2 linked regions of the Canis lupus familiaris genome follow. The protein of the gene in region 1 interacts with the protein of each later gene in a pairwise test. Links are inferred from orthologs where the notes say so. Each region holds a gene or a part of one and is shown on either strand. Other genes may lie near its edges.

Region 1 (3,751 bases):
TTGTGAGGGTTCAGTTAGCTAATCTATGAAACTCCGTGTTTGATGAATAGTAAAGTGCTTGATCAATATAAGCTAAGATCAATAATATTATTCTCTGGGGCACAAAAGCTGAAGTAACGTGCTCAAGTTCACCAGGCTGGGAAGAGCCAAGTCAGCTTTTGTTTGGAAGCCCTGGACATCCAGGTGACCCATCCCACACACCTTTCTAGAGACCGGCTGCCCACTGCCCAGCTCACCTGGCTGGTGTGATCAGCACCCATGTGCAGCAACATTTGGACACAAGCCAGCCTGTCTCGGGCCTGGGTACTCAGTACCCGGAAACATAGGTCAGGTGGGTGCACGGCAACGTTGAGGGCCAGGATGGCTGTGTGGAGAGGGGTGAGGCCTGCGGAACAGAGACAGTGAGGGCTCTGCATCTGGGGCACCCACCCCACCCAAGCCCACCTGCCACACCCACCCTGCCGACCACTCAACTTACCCTCGAAGTCTCTGGCTTCCAGGTCGACCTGAACCCCCGAGTTAATCACAGCCTGAGGAGGAGAAGGCAGAGGGCTGGATTAGTCTCCCCAGGCCTGCTAGCCCTGGAAGCCAGGATGTGAGCGACCAGTCCATCCCATTCACCCCACCGGCCAGCTGGCCATACCGAGAGGACTCCTGGGAGCCCATAGGTAGCAGCCACATGCAAGACAGAACGTCCCTGATGATCGGTGGCATTGGGCTCTGCTCCCAGGTTCAGTAGATCCTCCACAATCAGGGGCTGGTTGGCGGCAGCAGCCACCAGCAGAGGGGTCTGCAGGAGATAAGAGGGTTAGTCTGAGCCCAAGTCTCCTCCCCTCTGCAAACCAAGAATCCAGGTTCCCAGACCTTCTGCCTTCAAATCCAGTCCAGGCCCCCGGCCCTCACCTTGCCCTTATGCTCCCGAATGTCCAGACGTCTGTATACCTGGAGCATCTCAGCTGCGGCATACGCTGCCCAGCGCAGCCCTCGAGCCGCGAATAGGTGCAGGAGCCTGAGAACAGGTAGGGGGCAAGCAGTGAGCACAGCAGCCCTGCTAAGCCAGGAACATGCAGACCGCAATCCCCTATACTCACGTGTCTCCCTCCTCATCCTGGGCCAGCAGCTGTTGAGGCCCCAAAGCCAGCATGTGAGCACGGGCTGTGTCCAGGGATGGTCCGGTGGCCAGAGTAGGCAACGGTGGGGGTCCTGAAGGAAGTCCAGAACCTCTCCAGGATCCTGCCTGTGGCAGGGAAGGTTCTGCATAAAGCCGGGTATCCAGGGGGTCCTGAAGGATACATGTGGTGGGCAGACCCAGTCAGCTGAGAATTCCCTCTTCCTAACATACAGATGTACACACAGTGCCAGGCAGAGTGGCTGGGTGCCCCGCCTGCACCAAGTGACCCTGGACCTTTGGGCCTCAGTTTTGCCCATCTGAAGAATGGGATCTTAATCCAGCATGAGGGCAACTGGGAATTTTAGGGGTCCTTCAGCATCCTATTCCCACTCTGTATCTCACCTCCATCCCCACAGAATATGGACACTGCCGCCCTGGGTCGGAGGGTGGGTAGAAGTCAGGAGTCAGGAAGCCTTCAGCAGCAGAAGCAGGGTAAGAGTAGGGGCTGTCTGTGTAGGCAGCATGCGTGTTGGGGTCCCAGTCTGGAAAGCCCGTGGTGGGAGCCAGGCTGCCAGGTCCAGAACCCACAGTCTCTTGGTGTACTGGGAAGCGAGAATGGCCTGTGTGTGAGAGGAGGGGCAGGGGCAGGCCTGATTACCAGAGTTGGGGAAGTCCTGACCTAGACTGGAGGACCGGAGTGAGGGCCTGGAATCTCCCAAGGTACTGAGAGCTAGTACTTGTGGGACACCAAAGGGCTTGAACCCAGAATCCAGGGCACCAAGCGGTTGAAAGCTTGGACTTCTGCCACCTGGACTCCAGGGACACTGAGGGTTGAGCGCCTAGACTCTTGGAGCAACAAAGGGCTGCAAGCCTGGGCCCCCGGAACACGGAAGGACCTCATACATAGACTAGCGGGCTCCAGAGAATCTGGGAGATCAAGCTGCTACCGGGTCGCAGCAAGAAAGAGGGTCTGGTCTGACTCCTAAGTTTCCCCAAAGTTCTAAGATTTAGAATGTCTGAGTCGGGGAAGAAAGCTGGGGCTGCGCCAGCTGAGGGGACCAGATGGGTTTCCAGACTTACCAGCCTCACTCTCATTCACAGATGGGGTCAGGGACTGGGCCGGGGGAGGTGGAAACTGTCCCTGGAGAGGCATAAACAGAAACGAAGGAGGGTGAGTTTATGTGACACAGCCCTCAGCATCCAGTCCCAGCCGCAGCATCTAAGTCAGGGCCGCACCCCCGCTCCGTGCTGAGGGCCCAGGGAGCCCTCAAGTCCCCGCCCAACAGGACACGGCCTCACGGGAGTCCCGCTTCAGGGCTTCCCGGGCCTTACCGGTACCCCCCCAGCCTCAGGCTGCTGCTGACGGCGCCTCTGTTCTTCCAGGAGCTTCTTCACGGTCTGCGATGGGCAGTGGCTGCGTTCACCCCGGCTCACTACAGGGGGGGGGGGGGGGGGGGGGGGGGCGATCAGAGGTCCTCAAGTCACCCAACTCGGGCCCCCTCCCTCGACCTCCTGCGCGGAAAAACTGGCAGGCTGACGCCACCTGAGGACCCCAGAGCCATTCTTAGCTCTCAGGTGCAGCTTCCGCCTCCGCCGTTTCCTTCCCTTCGCTCCGCGCTTTCCCCTCTGACCCAACTTTCCACCAGCGTCGTGGAAACTGGGGAAGGGGGAGGGGCGCGCCCCTCTGCAGCACCTCCCCCCCCCCCCCCAGCTTCCGTGAAAACTCCCAGCCCCCAGATCTCCCAGTCGCGGGGCCTGGGGGGCCGCTGGCAATGACGCCCTGAGCCGCACGGGCAGCTTCCCCGCGTCGCTCTGCCCTGAAGCTGACCTCGACGCACGGTCCACGGGAACCAGGCGTCCGGCCCGGGTCCCCAGCCCCTCTCCCCAGGGGACGACGAATCAACAGCCCGCCGGCTCAGCCAAGTCCAGACCCCGGCGCCCCTCAGATCTAAGAGTCCAGGCCCCACTCTGGGGAGCCCGAGCGCCTAGCGCCCCTTGCCCCGGGACCCAGGAGTCCGGGCGCTCAGCCTCGCCCCCCCTTGCGCCCGGGAGCCCCGGTTTCCAGGAGCCTGGTCCGCAGCCCCCGGGAAGTCGAGGCCCGGAGCCCGCGCCCTCCCGAGCCCGGGTTCCGGCGGAGGAAGGGTTAAGCGGGGGAGGGCGGACTCGGAAACGGCCCAGACACGACGTGCTGACGTCGCGGCGCTCACGCAAGGGAATCTTCCATCCACCCCTTCCCCTCCCCGCGGCGCGCCGCAGGTGTCCGGCTCCGAGCCCGGCGGGCGGCCAGGCGTGGAGCTCGCGGAATCCCCGCACGTGGGGAATTCCTGCTCGGCGCGGGGGCCGGCGTGGGCGGAGACGCGGGAATTCCCGGGGCGGGGGCAGGGCGGAGGTCGGCGCGGCCCGCGGCGGCCCGGCCTCACCCACGGCTTTTAAACCACCACGCCCCCAGGAGCGGGGGTCCGGGCCGCCAGCCCCCTCCGCCCGCACCACCCGGGGACCCACCCCCCGCCCGGACCCAGGAGTCCGAACCCCCGGGCCCCTCGCCCCCGGGAGCCCAGGCTTCCAGCCTCCGGCCTCCCGGCCTCCCGGCCTCCATCACCACCCAGCAGTCCGGGCGCCCGCGTCCGCTCACTCTCAGCA
Region 2 (3,651 bases), on another chromosome or scaffold:
TTGCATAAGACAACTTCTACCCATGCAAAGCTCTCGTAGAATACTAGTTGCTGGCTGTCTTGAAAGTTACAGGGAGCCCAGAACAACCAAAATAATTTCCTTACAAATATTTAAAATGTATAACCATGACTTGCCATTTCTAACAACAATAAAAAGACTAAAACATTTAAAAATAATTTTTTCCTCAGTGGAAATTTTCTATTTGAACATAAATCCATCAATCCAATTTTTTTTTCTTGTGTGTGTTTACATATGTATAATTTTACATATAAGTATAGTGCCTTTAGGAAACAGCTTGCTGATCTTGTGTAGCTAGTGTGTGCTCTTGTAGCTGTCTTTAATTTTGTCTTTTTTATTTTATTTAGCATAGTCATGATCTTATGACTGTGATGTTCCAGTAAATGTAATGCTCGTATGGCAGAGACGCTGAAAATGCTGCAGTTCAACCTTGCAAAATTGGCTTTAACTGCAGTTTGTTTGGCCGAAATCCTTCTGTTTGGTTTGAGTTTTTTCTTTGTTTTGTTAACTTTCAAAAAATCAATATGGCATTTCATTTTGTTCTTGTGTTGTTGGCTATGCATCTTAGAGTAAAAAAGTTAATTAAGCGAACTTCTCAGTTGTTTTTTTTTTTCTCTTCTCCAATTATCCTGTAGGAAATTCACAATATGGCCAACAGCAAGATGCCTACCAAGGACCACCTCCCCAACAGGGATATCCACCCCAGCAGCAGCAGTACCCAGGGCAGCAGGGCTATCCAGGACAACAGCAGGGCTATGGTAATAGCTTTTTGCAGTTTATTTTTGTCACAAAAAATGTGATGATTGAAGCAAATATTGAAGCAAATATTTAATGTTTATTTTTCTAAGAATTCTTATTTTTGAAAATTCACAATTTTAGCTCAGTCTGTTACTGGAATATTTATTTTAAAGTGTTTTGCTCAGATAAACTAGTAATCCATTTAAAAAGAAACAAACTAGAGATGGTTCATTGACCAAAGGTAAGGTATGTAGTCATTTAAAATGAGTTCTTAAATGAATTCTTAAACCTCTTTGGTATTCATGACCACCCAGTAGCTTTGTATGTGCTTAGAAAACTGATGAATTGGTTGATTATTAACCGTATCTACATAATCCACTTAGCAAATTTATTTCTAATGACTGTTACTATGAAAAATAGCATTGATTTTTAGAGTACAAATGAGATTTATTTGGAATGCATAAAAAAATGTTTTTGTCATTCTTTGGTTAAATAGTAATATACACATACATAGAGATATATATTTACAGAGTTTGGGGAAATGTAGCCATATTTTCTTATTGTAGACTCACTATAAGATCTAGTGGCTGGATATCTTGCTTTAAATAACTTTATTAGATAGGGAGTGGGGAATGATAAAGACCTGATATCTCATTCTTAAATATTAAGCTACTGTCACTACTTTATATATAGGAAAATATGTTTCTAATGTTAGAGACATCTTCTCTTGCTAGCATGGTCTCTTTTTTACATCAGTAATGTCTTATTATTTTTAGTCATTACTTTAAGCTCTGTGATTAGTATGGGCGCCTCTAGCCACCCGTCATTGCAAATCTAAGAACCAGGATCAGCTCAAGTTCTCTTGTGCCTTCAATATATGCATTGAAATTTAGTCATGTATTGGGAGCCAGGCATTCTCCCCCAAACTGATAATTGTGGTTCCCTGATTTGAGATAGGACTTTAGAAATATTCAGTGGATTTCTTGTTTTTACAAGAGGACTTTCTTGCTCTTTTCAAATGGCAATTTTCATTTCATGACCATTGAATATCTGTATTTTGAATAAGTAGAGTATTTGGTTTTATTGTATTTACATGAAAATAAATGCAATGTGGTTTAATCAAGTAAATTCATTGATTTAAGACATTATTTTTGGGCAGCTCCTGTGGCGCAGCGGTTTAGCACCGCCTGCAGCCCAGGGCGTGATCCTGGAGACCCTGAATCGAGTCCCACGTCGGGCTCCCTGCATGGAGCCTGCTTCTCCCTCTGCCTGTGTCTCTGCCTTTCTCTCTCTGTGTGTGTGTGTGTGTGTGTGTGTGTGTGTGTGTGTGTGTGTGTCTTTGAATGAATAAATAAAATCTTTAAAAAAAAAAAGACATTATTTTCAGTGGGAAGAGAGAGTAGATGAAATTGAATATTTTTTGGTTCAAGTAGTTATGCTATTTTGTTAGACATTGGGAATCCCAAAGAAGTTCCCATTTTACTTATTCATAGGCTTCATTTGTCTTACTTTCTTCTAGTAGAAATTTAGAGTTTAATAATGCCTGTATAGTAATTAAATAAATAATAGACTGATGGAATTTATTTACACTTGAAAGTTTATTCTCTTTTGACACTTTCCTCTGCCATCTGTTTTTTTTTTTTTTTTTTAATGGCAGATTTTGAATAGCTGTGATAGAAAAAATTTAAGTGTCAAAGCTTTTCAGCTTATGCTTTGTAAAGCATTCTTTACAATAGGCAGTAGTGGAATTTATGAAAGAGACATATTTGTTTGGCAAGCCAGATTAGTCCCTTGCCATCTCTGGAGTTGGAAATCATTCATTTTTATGGGTTAAGTATTAAAGGTGATTGGTACATAGAGTGTAACTTTTGAATCAGGTTTTTTCGCATGCAACCTGTGGCTTTTCAAGTCTTCTTTAGTTTTGGTTTGAAAATATTGTGATAGTAAGTTTATCAGTGCAGAGCATAAAGCCTTCTTTTGATAATTGCAAATACAAGTCTAGAATTTATATGGAAAATTATTCTTTGTGATCCTTTGGTGATTTCAAGTGTAAATCTAGAGTCCTACAGCTATAAATATCATTGGTTCCCAAACTTTATTCAGAAATTATTTCAACAGGGATCCCTGGGTGGCGCAGCGGTTTGGCGCCTGCCTTTGGCCCAGGGCGCGATCCTGGAGACCCGGGATCGAATCCCACATCGGGCTTCCGATGCATGGAGCCTGCTTCTCTCTCTGTGTCTCTGCCCCTCTCTCTCTCTCTCTGTGACTATCATGAATAAATAAATAAAATCTTAAAAAAAAAAAAAAATAAATTATTTCAACATATTTCTGCTTCTTGCTTTTTCTTTTACCTATTACTCATACTGGTTGGCTTTCTAGTAGAAGTATAGATAAATTTTCTTAATACCATGGAATTAACCTACTGTACAACTCCTGAGTCTCTTTTACTCATTAAAAAAAAATTTTTTTTTGATGGCTAACACATAGCTCACTAGTTACACTGAATCAAAACACCTTGTACATGGTGGTATCCTTACAGTATTTTCACTCTTACAACCTTTGGAATTTATTTCAAAAAGTAATTGAGAAGATCAAGATACCAAACTATCCTTTTTTTTAATATAAGAACATAATAACATCTAGTTCTAAACCGTTCTGAGAGTTCAAGTTCTGTTTTTATCTGGGCTTTTATTTGTGTTAATTATTTTGCAGGCCCTTCGCAGGGTGGTCCAGGTCCTCAGTATCCTAACTACCCACAAGGACAAGGTCAGCAATACGGGGGTTATAGACCAACACAGCCTGGACCACCACAGCCGCCACAGCAGAGGCCTTACGGATATGACCAGGTAAGTTATTTGGCCAGTGATTGCCCCATTGTTTGTTCACTCATTAGGT

What was found. The genes of interacting proteins can lie anywhere in the genome.
Region 2: the proteins of NFKBID (region 1) and SS18 interact in a two-hybrid assay, tested with the Homo sapiens proteins (2 studies listed by BioGRID and IntAct). The two-hybrid records come from large-scale screens. The link is inferred for Canis lupus familiaris from reciprocal best matches to the Homo sapiens genes NFKBID and SS18.

What each region holds. Positions count from the first base shown.
Region 1 is NC_049222.1:117,609,614-117,613,364, reverse strand, and holds the start of NFKBID (NF-kappa-B inhibitor delta), read right to left. Parts: upstream 2,929-3,751; 5' UTR 2,674-2,928; coding exon 2,655-2,673; intron 2,545-2,654; coding exon 2,444-2,544; intron 2,253-2,443; coding exon 2,192-2,252; intron 1,732-2,191; coding exon 1,514-1,731; intron 1,283-1,513; coding exon 1,092-1,282; intron 1,010-1,091; coding exon 904-1,009; intron 791-903; coding exon 644-790; intron 531-643; coding exon 479-530; intron 386-478; coding exon 237-385; intron 1-236. UniProt on the Homo sapiens protein: Regulates the expression of IL-2, IL-6, and other cytokines through regulation on NF-kappa-B activity. Functions in the regulation of inflammatory responses.
Region 2 is NC_049228.1:62,588,022-62,591,672, forward strand, and holds part of SS18 (protein SSXT), read left to right. Parts: intron 1-653; coding exon 654-776; intron 777-3,468; coding exon 3,469-3,602; intron 3,603-3,651. UniProt on the Homo sapiens protein: Appears to function synergistically with RBM14 as a transcriptional coactivator. Isoform 1 and isoform 2 function in nuclear receptor coactivation. Isoform 1 and isoform 2 function in general transcriptional coactivation.